Oryctolagus cuniculus: one gene and its partner. The protein of the gene in region 1 interacts with the protein of each later gene in a biochemical or structural test. Links are inferred from orthologs where the notes say so. Each region holds a gene or a part of one and is shown on either strand. Other genes may lie near its edges.

Evidence for each region.
Region 2: the proteins of GLG1 (region 1) and SELE form a complex in vitro, tested with the Homo sapiens proteins (2 studies listed by BioGRID and IntAct). The link is inferred for Oryctolagus cuniculus from reciprocal best matches to the Homo sapiens genes GLG1 and SELE.

Annotation. Positions count from the first base shown.
Region 1 is NC_091449.1:57,187,677-57,192,188, forward strand, and holds the start of GLG1 (Golgi apparatus protein 1), read right to left. Parts: upstream 3,060-4,512; 5' UTR 3,036-3,059; coding exon 2,586-3,035; intron 1-2,585. UniProt on the Homo sapiens protein: Binds fibroblast growth factor and E-selectin (cell-adhesion lectin on endothelial cells mediating the binding of neutrophils).
Region 2 is NC_091438.1:27,592,769-27,596,576, forward strand, and holds part of SELE (E-selectin), read right to left. Parts: intron 3,779-3,808; coding exon 3,593-3,778; intron 2,841-3,592; coding exon 2,655-2,840; intron 2,549-2,654; coding exon 2,360-2,548; intron 1,156-2,359; coding exon 967-1,155; intron 757-966; coding exon 580-756; intron 50-579; coding exon 1-49. UniProt on the Homo sapiens protein: Cell-surface glycoprotein having a role in immunoadhesion. Mediates in the adhesion of blood neutrophils in cytokine-activated endothelium through interaction with SELPLG/PSGL1. May have a role in capillary morphogenesis.

The DNA of each region.
Region 1 (4,512 bases):
GCAGCGCCGGCCGCAACTCATTCTTGATAGTGAGGAAAAGAGGATTCAAGTTCCAGGTGACACTGCCCATTTTGTATCCATTTATAAATCTGTAGCATTCTCAACAATCACACAGTAGCTACAACCATCTGCAGCAGACTGGAAAGAGTATGTTCTTGAACCCAAAAGGGACTTGCTGAGTATCAGCTCTGCCACTTATATATATCAGAAGCAGAGTAGCCGGAACTCAAACTGGCACTGCAATATGGGACACAGGTGCCCCAAGTGGCGGCTTAACCAGCTGTGCAACAATGCTTTCCCCCCTTCTGCTCTCTTTAAAGAAAAAAAAGTTTAAAAATAACTATCTACTCAAGAATATACACATGTATTTATGGTGTTCTTCTTTCCATATTTCTGTATGTAAACTTGCAGGAAATTTTTCTTTTATCTTTCTTTTTTGACAGCCAGAGTGGACAGTGAGAGAGAGAGACAGAGAGAAAGCTCTTCCTTTTTCCATTGGTTCACCCCCCAGTGGCCGCCGCAGCCGGTGGGCTGCGACCAGTGCACTGTGCTGATCCAAAGCCAGGAGCCAGGTGCTTCTCCTGGTCTCCCATGGGGTGCAGGGCCCAAGCACTTGGGCCATCCTCCACTGCACTCCCGGGCCACAGCAGAGAGCTGGCCTGGAAGAGGGGCAACCGGGACAGAATCTGGTGCCCCGACCGGGACTAGAACCCGGTGTGCCGGCGCTGCAGGGGGAGGATTAGCCTAGTGAGCCGCGGCGCCGGCCTTGCAGGAAATTTTTCTAAATTGGAAATTTAGCCCCTCATCTCCAAAGACATACCCCCATCTCCAATTTACATGATACCTTTCTTCCTCTGGAGCATAAAATCAGCTCCATAAGTTTAGTCATCCTCAGTCAAACAGTATTTCAGAGATGCCAGCACTGAATTAGGTACTACCCCTCAGAGTTTAGGGATCACCCCTACAAAAGAAGAAAAATGTAGTTACTGTGATAATATCCTTGCTGGGAATCTTACAGTCACTGGTAGAGCTAGGAGTGAATTTTCAAGCCAGTGTAGTTTTCTACATACTAAGTAATATAACAAAGATATAAATTAAGCAGATTCCAGGAAATCATCAAATCTATGTCATTTACGGAGTATGTATACCTCTACAAACGTCTACACGCACAACAAAGGAAGACTGTAGATTTTCAAATGTTTCTAACGCAAATGAAGGAGACTTGCATGGGACACTTTTTGCCACTTTCCCTAATAAGGTTCTGTTTCTGCCACCAACCACTAACAATGGGTGGCCACCAGTGTTAGGATCCCCGTGTGAGGAAACAAGCTCTATTAAGTATCCTGAGGGAACAAACAGAAAACTCCATAATGCTTGGCAGCGTTAGGAATCGTAGCTGAAGCTGCTAAAACAGCTGAAGAAGAGTAGCAAGGGAGCTTCCTTCTGGCTTCAAGCTACACGTGAGACATCACGGAGGCCCCACGTGTCTGGTGGCTCTGGAAACTTCTCCTGATTCTGGGTGTCTCTTCTGAATTACTTTATGGAGAATACTAGGACGAGCCTGGCAGTGGGCTGAAGGCAGAAAATGACCAAGAGCAGCACATTTCCCCAAGCCAGCGGTCTTCCCAAAGCCTTGCGCGCCTTAGACAGCATTCAAGACACAACATCCCGGACAAAACAGCAGCAGCCTCTCCTTGTCAACCTGGTGGGCTGGTTCTGCAAATCTACGTCTTAGAAAAGAGAATCCCCACCAGATCTGCTTCCAGACTTGGACTGAGAATGGCCAGTAGGCACTTATGACCCCAGCATTAAATCTAGAGAAGCAACTACCCACGTCCCTTAGCTGAATCCTATCAGACAACATCCACTGCAGATTTCATGCCGAGGTGCTGCTGAAGTCTGACTCAGACCTCAGGGAAGATTCCACCACCTAACCACATACACTGTTAGGGACTACAGCTTCACACGCTGCCCCAACTTTCCAAGCTTTGGGGCGCCAAGGTACATGGTGTAAGTTTAAAAACGAGGTTCGCTACAAACTGACCAAAAGAGGGAGAGCACACACTCGGTTCACCAGGTTTAAAAAAAAAAAAAAAAAGAGGGGACCAGCAAATTACAAAAGGACGAGGGTTAAGACAATAAATCCTGCTGTTGGCTACAACACACACCAGAACAGACCCCTAATCAAACACGATCTACAGCCAATGAACAGCCCACACCCAGCAGCTGAAGCACGCCAAGCATTTTCCAGGTTTAAAATGGATTGCTACAAATCGCCCGAGTCGAACCCGAGGGCAAAATGCTAAAGTGGCTCTCGGCGAGGAGCATCACACAAAAGACAGGAGCAAACAGAAACACGCTCTGGGCCGCGGGCGGCTGAGGCGGGGAGCCGAGGTCTCCGTCCCAGCCCGCCGAACAGGGGGGCGAAGAAGGGCCCGCTGGGGCTGGGGGTGGGGGTGGGGTCCTCTCCCCCTAGGGCGCCCGGGAGAGAGGGGCGGGCAGCGCAGCGGCGACCTACACTCGGCGGCACCCGCGGGCCCGCACCAGGCCTGGCCCTCCCGGCCCGGCCCGGCCCGCCCGCTCACCTCTCTCACGTCCTGCAAGCACTCGAGCACCGCCAGGTTGTTGCTCCAGGTATGTCTGGGGCACACACGGGTCACGTCCTCCCTGCAGGACTCTTCCTCCGCCAGCTTCCAGCCCCCGCCGGCTCCGCCGGGCCCCGCTCCGCCCCGCCGAGCCGGAGGCCCACCCGCCGGGAAAGGCGGTTGCGGCGGCTGAGGCGGCTGCTGTTGCTGCTGCTGCTGCTGCTGCTGCTGCTGCTGCTGCTGGAGCTGCGATGACGGGGGCAGCTGCGGACCCGCTGGGCCGCCGCCTCCGGCCTGCCCTGCAAAGGGCACCGCGTTGACCCCTGCGCCCTGGCCCTGACCGTGGACGCCCTGGCCTGGGACTTTCTGGGCCCCGGCCGCCGCGAGCAGCAGCAGCGGCAGCGCCGCCGACAAGCGGAACATCCTCCGTACACGTCCACACGCCGCCATCTTGGGTCCGCGGCGAGCTCGACGCACCCGCCGGCGCCGCGTATTTAAATGAGGGGGCGGAGCCGCGGGGCGTGGGGCCGTCGTGGCCCCGCCGAGCCCCTCCCCGGCCGCCGAGGACCCGCGAGGCGAGGGCAGGGCGCGGAGCAGGCCGCGCTGTGGCGCCGCCGCCCACTCCCCGGACCCGGCGGGCGGGAAAGCCGCGCTCTTTACCCTGGAAGTGGCTGGGCCCGATTTAGAAAGCTGGGTAGGGCCACGACGACTTGGTCCAAGTCCCTTGGTTGTCGTCACAGGAAAAAAAAAATCAAAAAGGATTGGGGTTGCCACAACCAAGATGGCCGGTAGACAGTGTCCCCAGTTCAGTCACTTGGAAAAAAAAAAAAGTGTGTACACGTGAACCTTTCCCCCAGCAGGTGCAGTCCGGGTCTTTCTCGCCTCCAGGGCAGTGGTTAAGAGCACAGGTTAAGAAGAGACGCCTTGGCCCTAACCCTTGCACGTGAACAGAAATGTCAAGAACGCACTTGATTGTGAAGATTAGAAATGAGACATGTGCCTAGCCCACGCATGGAACTCAGAAAGTTACAGCGGTGTCTGTTGATGTGAGGCCCTCTGCGGGAGTCCTGATTCCAAGCCAGGAGCAGACTCAGGACCCAAGGTTGAAAAGAAAATGGAACACAGGTTGGCTGTGTGCTGGCCGCTGCTTTTGCGGACTTGTCTGTAGCATCTTCAACACCTGCTGCACCCTCACCAGTGTCGCCTCCTTCAGGTTGGGAGAGATGTCGTCTTCCCAAAGCCTCTTCACATCCCTTGCACCATTTGAGTCGCGCATCAAGACTGGGTTAGGTTCCAGTTCAACTGGGGAATGGCATAAAGATGTTAAATGGGGCTGGTGCTGTGGCATAGAAGGGTAAGCCTCTGCCTGCCGTGCCGGCATCCCATATGGATGCCGGTTGGTGTCCTGGCTGCTCCACTTCCGATCCAGCTCTCTGTTTATGGCCTGGGAAAGCAGCAGAAGATGGCCCAAGTGCTTGGGCCCCTGCTCCCACATAGGAGACCTGGAAGACGCACCTGGCTTCGGATTGGCCGGGCTCTGGCCATTGCAGCAACTTGGGAAGTGAATCAGCAGGTGAAAGATCTTACTCTCTCTCCTTTTTTCTCTGTATCTCTCTTTCAAATAAATAATCTTTTTTAAAAATGTTAAACAGTTCTGCACAGAGGAGTTAAATGAGCTACCCAGGATGAACTCTGCCAGCCCATTTACAGCCTTCAACCCCAATCTCTGGGTCTTCCCACCACCTTGGTACACTTTTATCCCTTTCTGCCATTGCAGAATGATGGGGAGGGAGGCACTTTGAGACATATAGTCCCCACTGACTACAAGTTATCAAGTCCAAAATGCAAATCCTGCTGTCCCGGCCCACAGATGAGCAGTAAAGACCATAACTAGGACCTGAGAAGTTGGATAGGGGCTCAGGGGTTC
Region 2 (3,808 bases), on another chromosome or scaffold:
CCACTAACAGAAAGCCCAACTGCCAAGGGAACATTGGACACAATGGGTTCTAAGGAGACAAGAAGGACAAAACCATCATGAGAAGAAATTGACTTTAAAATCTTTCTGCCCTATGCATTTGGCATTTGTCTCTCTGCAATGATGATTAGGAGCAGAAGAGTCACCTAGTTCAATGTGAGGCAGAGAAAAAGCAATAGAGGCCTTTAAAATCTGTCCTATCTGCCTTTGAGCCAATCTCCCACTTCTGCCAGGCTGAACTCTAACTAGCCAAGCCTTTCACAAAACTGTAACACACCTGAGTCTGTCTCTCTGTGTCTCTCTCTCTCTCCTTTTTTCCCCACTTCTCACTCCTCCTTTCCCTTGAAGGTCATCTTTTACCAATTGTCAGAATTCTACCCATTCCACACCCATTCCACTGACTTGCTACCTCTTCTGCTTTTTTTCTCTATCTCTATAAGGTCCACCAGTTTGTGAATCTGATCTTTCTTTCTGCTATGGACATGAGGATAGTTCATTACTGCAGCCAGACAATTCCCCTTCTCTGTAGGCTCCCACCACCACCATCGATCAATGTATCACCTTCACAGGTAGGCAGCATCCCAGACCACTGGCCTTCGGCACCACACATCAGAGCTGCAGAGCCGTTGAGTGTCCACCCTTCAGGACATGCAAAATTGCACACTGTTCCAAACACAGGCTCCCCACTGCAACTCACATTCGTCTTTCCCAGAACTGCCAGGCTTGGACATTGTACCACTGCAAATGATAGGTAACAGGGGAAATGGTTAGGAAAAATCTATTGGAATCCTTCTTAAACTGGCTTAAAAGTCACCAGTAAAGGCAACTTATAAGCACCACTTAATCTTCAGCATATAGGAAATTAGGATCAAGCCCCTTGGGATAATCTAGGGTCAGGAGTTTCTGAGCTATTTCACCCGTACTCTACAAGCTGGAACTCAGTCATACCTTGGCAGGAGGGGAGCTCCTGTGCCCACTGTCCCTGAGATGTGCACTCGAGTTGAGCTGACCCATGTAATTCAAAGCCTTCCCTGCAGTTGAAAGTGCAGGAGGACTTGTAGGTGAATTCTCCAGTATGGGGATGAGTACACTTCACAAAGCCATCCTCAAGTGTATGCACAGGATCACATTTCACAGCTAGAAGACAAGAGCAAGAACACTGCAGTTTTGTTTGCATCGAACCACAAAAGGTTCTCCAAGGTAGTCAAGCCCCTAAGCTTTTCAATAGTTGTGGGTTTTTTTTGTTTTGTTTTTTCTAAAATAAAAACAAAGACCATGCCTTTCACATGTGGGCTTCTCATTGTCCTACTGTGGAGCCACACTGGAGCCTTTTTGTTCCCTTCAACAAAACTCCCTGCTCTGCTCACAGATTAATTCATGGCTGGAAACTTTCAGAAGCACTAAGAAGATAATTCACATAGTGTCACTCCAGGCTGGACAAGGTTATAACCTGGAACGCTGTGACATCAAAAGGGTTGTCAGAAAATACTGCTGTGGAACTGAGCATCTGGGGAGTGAATCCAGTTATGTGGGGCAAAGCACTACTCAAAAACTCAAGATTCTTCATTATTCCTGAGGCACCTGGGAAGACGGCTGTGGTTTCTTGAAATTGTAATCCCTTCCTTGATAATGGCACTAATTAAAGGACAGCTTGAACAGGAACAGTGGTTCCTAAACATTCTTCTGACATGCAGAAGTTATGGACAAGGAAAAGATTTTATGCAGCCAGAAAGCAGTTTTGGGGTCCTAGATGCCTAAAGATGGCACCAAAAATATAGAAGATGACCTATATCAAGTTTATCTGCTTTGCATGTTGGTTTTGGTGTTACGGCAGTTTTCCACTGAAACCATTCTGGGGTATATATGTCAAGGAGAATGCCAGTGCCTGTTAGTAACACAAGCTTGCTTGCAATATCCTTTCTCTTGATTTAGGCTGAAGTAAATTTCAGTATTCATATATGTACATATTAAGTGTCTCTGTAACAGACACCAAGTCTCATCTCTGCTAGTTATAAGCAATTTCAGAATAAAGATGACAAAAACTTTTAGATTTAAATCATATTCTCAATATTCCTCTTTTCAAATGTTCTAAAGTTATTTCTTTTAGATTAATAATTCTGCTTATTCCATGCCAAAGCATCCACAAAGCACACACTAATATATACAGTCCTCTCCCTGACCAAGCACTGGTTCTTTTATATAAATCCTATAGATGGAAGATGAGTGTTCTTCAAGTCTGATTTCTACAGATAAAGTGGACATCTGGTTTCATGTGCACTGCCCAAATTTGAAGACCACTGCTTTTTGAGAAAGGAAGGGGCCAGGAGGTTTGCAGGCTTACCTTCACACACTGGGGCTTGCTGTGTCCACTGGCCCTGTGCAGTGCATTCCACCTGGGCCGGCCCCCGTAACAGGAAGTTTTCCTCACAGGTGAAGTTGCAGGATGACCTGAAGGCGAACTTCCCTTCAGAGGAGTTGCTGCAGCTCACCGAGCCATTCTGGGGGTGGTGGATGGCGTCACATGACACAGCTGTAACATATGGATGCATTGGATTAGCCGGTCCACCTTGCTCATTTCAAGAATTAGTAGAGAAAAGAGAATGTTCACGGTAAGTCTTGATGTGCAGCAACTCTACCTTTACAAGTTGGCTTCTCATTGTCCCAGCTCCCAGATGAGGTACACTGGAGGCTCCGAGCTCCCAGCAGTGTAAATCCTTCCTCACAGTCAAATGTGCAGGTCGTGTTCCATGGGGCGCTTCCCTGGCTTGGGGAACATTTTACATCCCCATTGGCAGGCTTTCCCATAGTATCACACTCGACCACTGGGGATTTGAAAGAGCACCATGAGTTTTACAGAATGATATTTTCACTTCCTATTGAATTGGAATTTAGAACAGGACAAGGAAGATGCTTCCAAAGGGTAGATCCCAAAGTCCTACTTCAATTTTTAGAGATATGCATTCCCACAATAAAGCTTTTATTCTTTTTTTAGTGAGTTTCCATCTTATCACATTTTTACTTTGACTAGGCTGAGTGGACTCTGATGCACTTTGTCATATACATAGGCAAAAATGAAAAAAACTGATTTTAGATCAGTATTTATGATTAATTTTGATTAAAAAAAACCACACAGACATGCCCAAGGCTTTTAATCATTCAAGACCAGAAGGACCTGAAGGATTGAATTATTTTGTTACTCTGGTCCAAAAAGATAAGCTTGAGTGAGCCAAAGAGAGGTTGAGAGTGCCTGATTATTGAGGTCCTAGGTTAGTCCGTTGCATGGGAAAGTTAAACAGGTGAAGATGAGAGAGTTGCTCTAATTTACAGTGAGGTTCTTGTGTTTTATATTCGCCCTGGAGAACCACCAGGGCCTCGGAGACATCCATTTCAGAGAATAAAAATCTCTCTCACACCAAGCAGGTACCACATTTGCCTAATACATTGGCTGCATTGGTTATTTAAAACAACACAAGAAGACATTTCCCTGGAGTTTTGAAAATATTATAAGCTGGATGGAACACCAAGGCAAGGTGAGATGAACTAGAGAATGTCCTCTGCACTCCGAGAAATTTACCTTTGCAGGTTGCAGGGGGAGCACTCCACTCTCCTGAGGATGTACACCATGTGGTCTCCGTGCTGCTTGGCAGGTAGCCCCTTTCGCAGCTGACAGAGCAGGAAGAATTGTAGCTGAAGTTCCCCAAAGGGTGGGTACAATTCAGGCTCCCGTGCTGAGGCTGTACCTGTGCTTCACAGGTCACAACTGAAATGAATAAAATCAGATTAGTTCTAT